2 linked regions of the Arabidopsis thaliana genome follow. The protein of the gene in region 1 interacts with the protein of each later gene in a pairwise test. Each region holds a gene or a part of one and is shown on either strand. Other genes may lie near its edges.

Evidence for each region.
Region 2: the proteins of LEJ2 (region 1) and ROP10 interact in a two-hybrid assay, tested with the Arabidopsis thaliana proteins (one large-scale study listed by BioGRID).

The regions. Positions count from the first base shown.
Region 1 is NC_003075.7:17,389,861-17,395,196, reverse strand, and holds LEJ2 (Cystathionine beta-synthase (CBS) family protein), read left to right. Parts: upstream 1-1,717; 5' UTR 1,718-1,978; coding exon 1,979-2,185; intron 2,186-2,572; coding exon 2,573-2,660; intron 2,661-2,758; coding exon 2,759-2,823; intron 2,824-2,927; coding exon 2,928-2,976; intron 2,977-3,238; coding exon 3,239-3,291; intron 3,292-3,733; coding exon 3,734-3,849; intron 3,850-3,946; coding exon 3,947-4,004; intron 4,005-4,106; coding exon 4,107-4,181; 3' UTR 4,182-4,571; downstream 4,572-5,336.
Region 2 is NC_003074.8:17,729,320-17,734,040, forward strand, and holds ROP10 (RHO-related protein from plants 10), read left to right. Parts: upstream 1-2,017; 5' UTR 2,018-2,241; coding exon 2,242-2,346; intron 2,347-2,671; coding exon 2,672-2,759; intron 2,760-2,957; coding exon 2,958-3,067; intron 3,068-3,160; coding exon 3,161-3,224; intron 3,225-3,319; coding exon 3,320-3,384; intron 3,385-3,485; coding exon 3,486-3,551; coding exon of another isoform or gene 3,552-3,593; exon of another isoform or gene 3,594-3,652; coding exon 3,653-3,756; intron 3,757-3,897; coding exon 3,898-3,922; 3' UTR 3,923-4,194; downstream 4,195-4,721. UniProt on the Arabidopsis thaliana protein: Acts as a negative regulator of abscisic acid (ABA) responses.

The sequences.
Region 1 (5,336 bases):
TGGAATGAAGTTTAGTCGGAATGATAGACACTGAGACACCCAACGATGGTATTATAATAGATTAAGACCTTGAATGTTTTGTACATTTTGTAAGAGTTTTTGGGTTTTGTTTTTCAAAAACTTATTTTCATACCAATCAAGATTTTAAAATTTTGGTTTCTCTATAGTTTAGAAAAACTATTTTGTTGTAATTTTTCATTCCTCATTTTAGTTTTTTTTGTTCTCTTAAAATTTTGAAAATCTAGTTTATACTCAATCAACGTTATTTTTTTCAAAACCAAAAATCATTTTTTTGAAATTTTTTAAACAAAAATATAATTACAAAAATCTAAAACTAAAATCTAAAATCTAAATCCAAAAACTGAATCGAAAATCAACCTCCATTCAGGGCCTAAATTGTCCTCTTACAATACATTTTTCTTTCCATATGTGATATCATAACGGATAGGTAAAAATGAATAAAATAAAAACTTTGGTAAATGGTAACAAAATATCATCAAAATTTTACCATTTACCATACCCCAAAAAGCAACATAGCAATTAAAAAACAACAAACTATCATCAAAGGCATTATAAGAGAACCCTTTGAGTACAATGAAAGGTTCTTGAATATTGAATGCACGAATCAAAAGGACAAAATGCTAAGTCTATGTAATTTTTATGTATTTACATTTAAGTTTGAAAACATATCGTTAATAAAAGTATTTTGTATGATAAAAAACTTTTAGATAAAAAATATAATAGCGATTTACTTAAAACTTTGAAAAAGTTTAAAATTAAATTTAAATACGTGAAAATATGATGAACTTATGACACCACAATACTTACGGACCAAAAGGACGGGATGCTAAGTCTAACCATTTTCACGTATTTAAATTTAACATTTAAATTTGAAAATATTTTTTATTTTACAATATTAATTACCAAACAGCTTTTATTTATTTTGAAACTGAAAATTTAAAACAAAATTATTATTTTTAGTAAAATCAATTGTTATCTATAACGTTAATTAATAAAGAAACCAAAAAAAATATTTTTAAAAAAAAGAAATTAAGAAAGGAACATACCTCGTGAAATAGGGAGACGTTTGTCATCAGGGATTGTTGTTTGCTAAAAAGCCCATACGCTGTTTTGCGAAGCCCATATCATATTGGGCCAAGATTGCAAATTGTAGATGAGAGATCTGAGTCATCTTCATCTTCTCTCCTAGGGCGAGTCCTTAACGGTCTGATTCTGAGTCATTGAAACTCCAAACCTACTCGTCGGTTGTTGATGAGAGTTTCTTTGCGCTTTTCAGAAAGAAAAGACAGGTCCGCATAAGATGCATCCATGGTTGGCTAGAAATCAACATCGATTGATCAAACACGAGAGACCACTCCAAGTGGCGTTGGTATGGATATGATCTCTAACCAGTAACCTTGTCGGATTAATCCTCCATGATTGATCAGAGATTGTGAAATATTAGAGAGACCTCTCTCGACATGGCGTTGGTAAAGATCGGCGACGTATATGGATCATCAATTTCACGGTTTCGAAATCGACGATCGTCTTTGTAAAACAGTAGCAGAGAAAAGAAGAATTTTGTTTTTTTGTCTCTTAAAGAAAAATTATGATTTCCCAACACAAGACAGATGAATATTTATAAGGAAAGGCTCACGCAAAGAAAAAAAGGAAACATCAGGTTGTTTTCCTTTTTTCATATTTGGACCTTAACAAAAAAGGAAATTGAATCGCACAATTAAGGAGCGTTTACAACGGTCTTATTTTTCTAATCTCAATTTGCAGATTTCGTTAAAAGGCCACGTGTTCGATTTTTTTTTAACGCATAAATTGTATTGTAATTCCAAAACTACATCGTTTTGAGGTTTAGCCATTAAAGTCACAGTCACACTTTCGCTTTTCCCAATACGAACAAGCGGTGACGCATATCTCCTGTATCATCACTCTTTTACTTCCGGCGATCTCTCTCCGACGGCCAATGGACGCCGTCCTTTACTCTGTTCCACTCTCCTTCACTCCCCTACGCGCATCATCCTCTCCTTCCTCGCCGTATCTTCTTCTGCCGAGGTTTCTCTCCGTTCAGCCATGTCACAAATTCACCTTCTCTCGAAGCTTCCCTTCCAAATCCCGGATTCCCTCAGCTTCTTCCGCCGCCGGTTCCACGTTGATGACGAATTCCTCTTCGGTAAGCTCCTTCACTCAATTTCCAGTTCCAAATTCCTCTTTCCGTTTTGGGAATTTTGTTATGCATGCGAATATCTGATCATTGGGTGTCTTAGATTCTGAGAATTTTCGTAGATTAGCTTCTTGTAACGATTCTATGTAACGATTGAATGGTATACTAGTTACTAGCTTAGACCGGATTCTTCGAGATTGCACATTTTAGATACGGGATTCGATCTTAGCCTAGTGGAAATTTGAGGAAGCAAAGTCGCTTACTCGCTTAAGTAATGAGATAGTGACCAATTTTGAATCGAGATTTTGAGAATTTAGGCAGCCACTGGTTGGAAGGTTAATCAATATTGTACAAGTAGAGGATTAGTTTGAGTTTTGTATATGACTATTACTGTAGCCAAGAAGTGGAGTGTACACTGTTGGTGAGTTCATGACAAAGAAAGAGGACTTGCACGTGGTGAAACCTACGACTACTGTGGATGAAGGTAGCTCTTTGTTATCCTTTAAAGTTCATCAGATTCTTTGGAGCATAAGATACTGCCTTGTTTTCATACTTATGGCCTCTTTTGTGCCTTCTCTACAGCTCTGGAACTCCTTGTGGAGAATAGAATCACTGGATTTCCTGTAATTGACGAAGACTGGAAATTGGTTAGTATCAACTTTTGTTATTCAGGTCTTAAGTTTTGAAAGGGAGCTGAATCTAATCTACAGATGGAGGTTGGATGCTTATGAGGGATTCTTTGTTGCTGCAGGTTGGGCTTGTTTCAGATTATGACTTGTTGGCTTTGGACTCCATATCTGGTAAGTGGGCCAGCTACACCACTTAATTAATGTATTTGGTTTCCTTTGCTTTCAAGAGATTTTATAAACATGGGGATTTCTCTTTGAAGTGGAGAAAGAAGAAAGCTACTTGATCACATGGTGGCATAAAGCCAGAAATATCTATGTTATGATGACCTTCTGTCTCATTCTTTGCGAGATAGCACGCTCACCGTGAAATGATCAAAAAGCTTTTTCCCTTACCCCTTGAATCTTATTGCTGGTTTTTTTGTGTTGCTAATAGGTAGTGGAAGAACAGAAAATTCCATGTTCCCTGAGGTTGACAGCACCTGGAAAGTATGTGGCCCTTCCTTTTCCTATTAACATTTTGACCTGAATGCTTTTCAAAACACTCAATTCAAATTCTTTCCCATTGTGCTCATTCGCCTGGTTCACATTATCAGCAGTAGATAGTGTGTATTGAAAGTTACAAGGAACTTGTTTTGATTTACGCAATTACCATGCACAATAATTCAGCTAATTGTTGTGAACCTGTTATAGGATCTTCTGATTGTTATGAGTGTATGCACTAAAGAAGTACCTCATATGAAATATGCATATGGTAGAGTTATGTTAATGTTACATTCAGTTCCCTAGTTTGAGTAGACATGATTCTGTAAAGTGGATTCAAATCTGATAGTGTAAACCATCTCAAAATGAATTGGTTCTATAGTTCTCTTTTTTGGTAACTTTTGTTGTTCTTGTATCATATCATGTTGACCAATAAAAACATTTGCAGACTTTCAATGCTGTGCAAAAGCTACTCAGCAAAACCAATGGGAAGCTTGTTGGAGATTTAATGACACCAGCTCCACTAGTTGTTGAGGAAAAAACCAACCTGGAAGATGCTGCTAAGTTACTGTCTTTCCTTTTTTTCAGTGCCGTCATTTCTTTTCTCATCTCTATCTAAATTCTTCTCTAACTTAAAGCTTATTATTCTATTTTCCACTAGAATATTGCTTGAGACAAAATATCGCCGGCTCCCTGTGGTAGATTCTGATGGCAAATTGGTAAGAGAAGAGAGATTTTACATTTACACATCTCGCATTGAACTTTTAAATACACCATGTTTCGCATCGCTTATCTATTTTTATATTTCCTTTTGAAAAAAGGTTGGTATCATCACAAGAGGAAACGTGGTTAGAGCCGCGCTTCAAATAAAGCGCTCTGGTGATAGGAATGCTTGATTAAGGTAGTATATATACCAAACAAGAAAATGGCTTTGTAGAGGAAAGCAATGATCAAACATTCTCCAGAGAATAAAAGTGAGAAACCGCGACAATTGTACCATGTATTAGAATAAGAGCCATAACTTATACGACATTTTGCAACGAAGTTAAACCTGGTAAACTCTAGAAGCATCAAAGGTAAGTGCACATCTAACTTTTTGCTATTTTAGCAGAATCAGCTTCTCTGTTTGTTTGATAAGTTAGGTTATCAGATGCTTTGGGTATTTGACTCTCATCCAATATGCTTTCATTTCGAGAAAAAAAAAAATTGTTTCACACTTTCTACATTTGGTTAACCACCAAAGTAACAAACCTTTTTAAGGTATTTTAATTGATTTTGGTTCAACCAAAAATATCTTTCCTTTACCTTCTTGGTTTCGTCCGTACAAACGTATATGTGAAATTGGAATCTTTTCTTAACGTGGAGGCTCTAGATTGGTAATCAAATTTCGTTAATTGTCATTTGTCAAGAACTTCCATGATCTACTCGATTAAAAGTAATATTAATAATATCAAGTTACAAGAGTGTTAGTTGCAAGGTCATGCTCATCATTAGCTGTCTAACGAAACCTTAAAACAATTGACCTTTAGTTGTGGTGATCTGATGGCGAAAAACACTGATAGATCTGAATTTCTAGTGATTTAATTAGGTCAAAAGAATTTAACTCTTGGTCAAATTTCACGTTTAAGCTCTCTAATGGAGAAAGAAACACATGTTTGAGACTGGTCTTTTCAAAACAAGACCATAGCACAAGAAATGATCAAGTTTTGTGATATGTGAGTTTTTGCTGTCTTTGCCCCACAAAACAGATTAGAAAACAGAGAAGAAAGAAAAGAGATGACTTTAGTAGTTAGGATAGAGAGCTTTAGTTGTTACGATCGGACAAGTTAAAGACCCACTTACCATATTTGTTTTGTAGGACACTCTTTGTCTCTCCAATATCTCTCTAACTCTCTATACACTCCCACTTCTCAATCCTTAGTCTCCTGTTTCTGCTGCTATTGACTCACCGCCGTGTTCCCCATCCAGATTTTATCTATAACATCATACTAATACTACCTCCTACCTATAACCAAACTGAAACATTGAAACACTTGTGTAACTGAAGTACG
Region 2 (4,721 bases), on another chromosome or scaffold:
TCACGTAGATTACTATATATGCACTAGTTTATTATCTCAATTTGATGGATCATTTGCCTTGTCTCTGATGATACAGCCATACAAGGCCAAAGACATGGGCCTTTTGGGTCTATTGTTTTTTTTGGCAGCACGATAGTGTGTAACCAATTTTATCAAACCCACAAATCAGATATGAAAACCCAATTTAGCTTGGATACTTTTGTTTTGAAATAACAAAATTATACTTTACTAAGATTGATGAATAAGTTTGATAGCAGATGTTACAGAAAAAAAGAAGGAAAAGTTTGGTTGCTATTTTCCAAAACTTAAAAGTCCCCAATTCAGAGTTAATCCTAATTCCTATATATATATATATCTTTCTCTCTTCTATAACTACATATGTGTTTAACCAAGTTATGTTCATTTCTCCTAGCTAGAACCAGGTAAAATTTGTTTTATTGAAATAATCTATACAATTAATTGGTAATGAGTAATGCCAGAATCTTACAAAAAAAATGATGGCAAAATATAACAGTTTTTAATGCTAAACAAAATAAGAAGGATCAACCGATAAAGAAAAAGAAATAACGTACTATAATCAATGCTTCTTAAGCATGTGATTAGCTTTTAGTATCCTTTTAATCCTACTATATTATTTGGGAAATACATTTTAAATGTAACCTTAATTTTTGTAATTAATTACATGACAATACCATTAGAAAAATTTAATCAAAAACAAAATCTTTTAATGACATCATTAAGGTTACCAAAATCATTTAACGACAATATTCATTTCTTAATTATAGGGCTTGTTGAATCTAAAGACGGGTCATCAAAGATTTTCTAAACTAAAGCAAAATATACCGAATATTCAAATATCTTTCTGTTACCAAATTATAAACAAATAAGTTCGTAAAACAATTTAATATTTTATATACGAAATCAATAAATCTTAATCACATAAAAATTTGTACAAAAAAAAAGTATTCAACAATTAAAAATTTATCAAATCTCTGTGTTATATAAGTTTTGATATTATATTCGAATAAAGTGTAATATACCTTTTTAATTTGTATTCTTTAACTAATTTAAGCTAACTAATATATTTGCTAATCTTATACCTATTAAAACCGACTATCGTTTCTTATCTCTATAGTATTTTTGCAAGATTTTTTTGGTGGATTTGGATAAAAGTGCATTCGGGTCATATGGTACATTCCCCTATTAAATAAATATGGTGCACTCCTATGTTATTAGCTAAAATGTTTAGAATTCAGAGTCATATCATAAATAAAATTAATATGAATAAAATAAATGGCTTTTTGGCAAGACGGATTTAGAAGGACGGGTTTTTGAATCAACATTAATAAAAAAGTAAAATATAATTAATCCACCGTTTCAATACGGGTAAAATCTTTAATTTATTATTTTTTAAGACCACTAATATTAAACATATCAAATTATCCTAATTTAGAAAATATTATATAAAACCAAAAATGTTATGTGATATGTATAATGTTACTATATATAAAATTAAACTATAAAATATAAATGTATTAGAGAATGATACAATTTGCAAAACTTTTATATATAATAAATAATTCTTAAATTTTAAAAATTACGACTTAAAAAAAAACTCACGGGACGGGTAAAGAAATTACAGAACGAGTTTTATTTTGGAATTCGGTTATATGGTGGATGTATTTGAATCAATATTTATAAAATTATAAAATATTATTAATATGCTGTTTTAATAAGGGTTAAAACTTCAGTTTTTTAACAATTGTCTTATAGATTCGTGGCATAGCGTTACTTAATAACAATTATAAACCGTAAAATATAAATATTTTATAAAAATAAAATTTGCAAGTTTTAATATATATTACCTTTAAAAAATTAATCGTCTCGCGGTATACCACGGGTTAAAATCTAATACATTTGTAAAAGCGATAAATATGAAACGATTTAGAAAAGTCATGTGGATTAGATGGATATATCATGTGAGCCCCTCTTCTTTCCCTCTCTTCAGTCTTCAAACCAAAAAACGAAAGAGACAAAAATACAAAATTGAAACTTTGAAAATATTGAAAGAAAAGTGAAAAAAAAGAGAGTTTAGTTTTTTTAATCATATGGGGTTTATATAGTTTATTACCACACTTCCTCATGTTAATCACTTCATTTATCTCTCTATTATCTCTCTCACAATCTCTCTGGTTTTTGGGCGTTTCTTCGTTGAAAGTTGTTTGCTTTTGGTGAGTTAGAATGGCTTCGAGTGCTTCAAAATTCATCAAATGTGTGACTGTTGGAGATGGTGCCGTTGGAAAAACTTGTATGCTCATCTGCTACACTAGCAACAAATTCCCTACTGTAAGTTTAAAATTTGATCAAGTAAATCACAGTTTCGCTGATTTTTCATCAAATTGTTCTTTCGGGCATCTCCAATTTCGTCACTTTTAGTTGAATATACTTCTGGGTCTGTCAAATTTCAACTCTTTCACCGAGAATTTTAGCATGGTATTTCAAAGTTAGCTCCTTTTTTAGGGATTGTGCAAAAATAATCCTTTTTTGGAGATTCTGAAAAATCTTACATTGTAAAGTTAGTGGCTTTCTTGATTCACCAGTGTTTCCTCTTACTCTATTGCGCATTTGTTGTTCTCGTGAAGTTAAAGATTTGCTTGATGGATTGTATCAGGACTACATACCAACAGTTTTTGACAACTTTAGTGTTAATGTTGTGGTTGAAGGCATCACTGTGAACTTAGGCCTTTGGGACACTGCCGGTAAGTAACATTTCTGTATCCCTCTCTTGAATATCTCAGAATAACCAAGTTCACTAATGTTATGTGGTTCTAATCTTTCTAACATCTAGCAAGTTTGCTTTTGATTTGGGATTCTTAGATAGAGAACTTTATAGGGAGTGTTGAAGATTAGTGACTGTTAAGAGTTTTATGATTATGAGTACCCTTTCATGTTTGCAGGGCAAGAAGACTATAACAGACTAAGGCCTTTAAGTTACAGAGGAGCAGATGTTTTTGTGTTGGCTTTCTCATTGATCAGCCGAGCTAGCTATGAGAATGTGTTTAAAAAGGTTTGTGGAAATTGGATTCATTGTATTTCTTACTGGGAAAACAAAGAATGAAATGTGAATTTCTGATGTTTTTGAAGCGTTTATTTTGTTCAGTGGATCCCTGAACTCCAACACTTTGCACCAGGAGTCCCCATTGTGCTTGTTGGTACCAAAATGGGTAAGATAGCTATAAGAGTGGAGCCAACATATTTCCTTGTGTAATGCTTGAGAATCACATATATGTAATGTTTCTTACAATGTTCCGTTATCTAGATCTTCGTGAAGATAGACATTACTTGTCTGATCATCCTGGACTGTCCCCGGTAACTACATCACAGGTGTGCTTTTTCAACCTGTAGAAACCGAAAAGATTGTTGTGACATTCTCTAGACTCTCTCTTCTCTAGGTTTTATATGATTTAATCATTCATGTGTTACAGGGAGAGGAACTCCGCAAGCATATCGGAGCGACTTATTACATTGAATGTAGCTCAAAAACTCAACAGGTACACTTGTTCATGTGTGTTTGGAAACTTAGGAGTCATTAGTGTTAGGTGACTCTTTACTTGCAAACTATATGCTTTTCTTTGGTTCATGGCTTTTGCAGAATGTGAAAGCCGTATTTGATGCTGCTATTAAAGTAGTAATTAAACCAGCAGTGAAACAAAAGGAGAAGAAGAAGAAGCAGAAGCCTCGCAGCGGATGTCTCTCGTAAGTTCAATAATCTTCACTCTTTTTAATATATAACTAAGAAATTATGTAATACTAGAATTTGGTTATGCAACCTTTAGCTTCTTCATACAGTTTTGTTTGTTTGTGTAATGATTATAGATTGGCTTCTCTATTGTGCAGAAACATTCTGTGTGGGAAGAATTGATGAGTCAATTCCATCTGATGATTGTTCACTTCTTTTTTTTTCTTTTCTTTTCTAATTGGCCAGTTTGTGATTCTGATAAGTCGGAATTACATAGACTCTGGCAGAGATGAGCCTCAATTAGTAGCTTCTTCGATTCTGTTTGTATATGTGACCCTGATGTTTGTTTGTTTCGATTTGGTTTGACCCTTATAGAATTGTTATAGCCATTTTGTAGCCAAAACTTGGAGTAGTTCACGACTTAACGTGGTTAACACTTGCTTCTTTCGAAAAAAGGTGAATCCTTAATCACATATTCGAATTTATTTGGTCCTATTATGAGATCCAAGACCAAACGACAAAAGCGTGACAAGTAAGAAGAAGCCTGTAAATTTCAAACAGAACCAGCACAAGAAGTAATAAATCTACAAACTGGAAAAAGAAAGATAAAAAGAAGTAACTAATCTTGTGTCTATAATACAACCCCCATCACCTAACGCACACATGTAAAGCCACAATGCGAAAGACTTTTTTTTTTATCATTTTGAACACACTCAAAAGCCACCAACATTTGTTTTATCGCTAGTTTTTTGAGCCGGTGTATAGAGATACACACATGCATGAAAAATGACCTAAAAGTGTGTTTTCACCTTTTAAAACTCTTTGTGGGGAGGTGGTGATGCGGGTCTCTCGCTGAGAACCTTGTTGATGACTCTTCTGAAAGAGAATGGCCACTCCGGTGAATTTAGGACTGTTTTTGGAAGATCTACATGATGGTGAAACCAAGAGGTCAGGTTTGTGTTCTTAAAAAGGTTGAGACCAC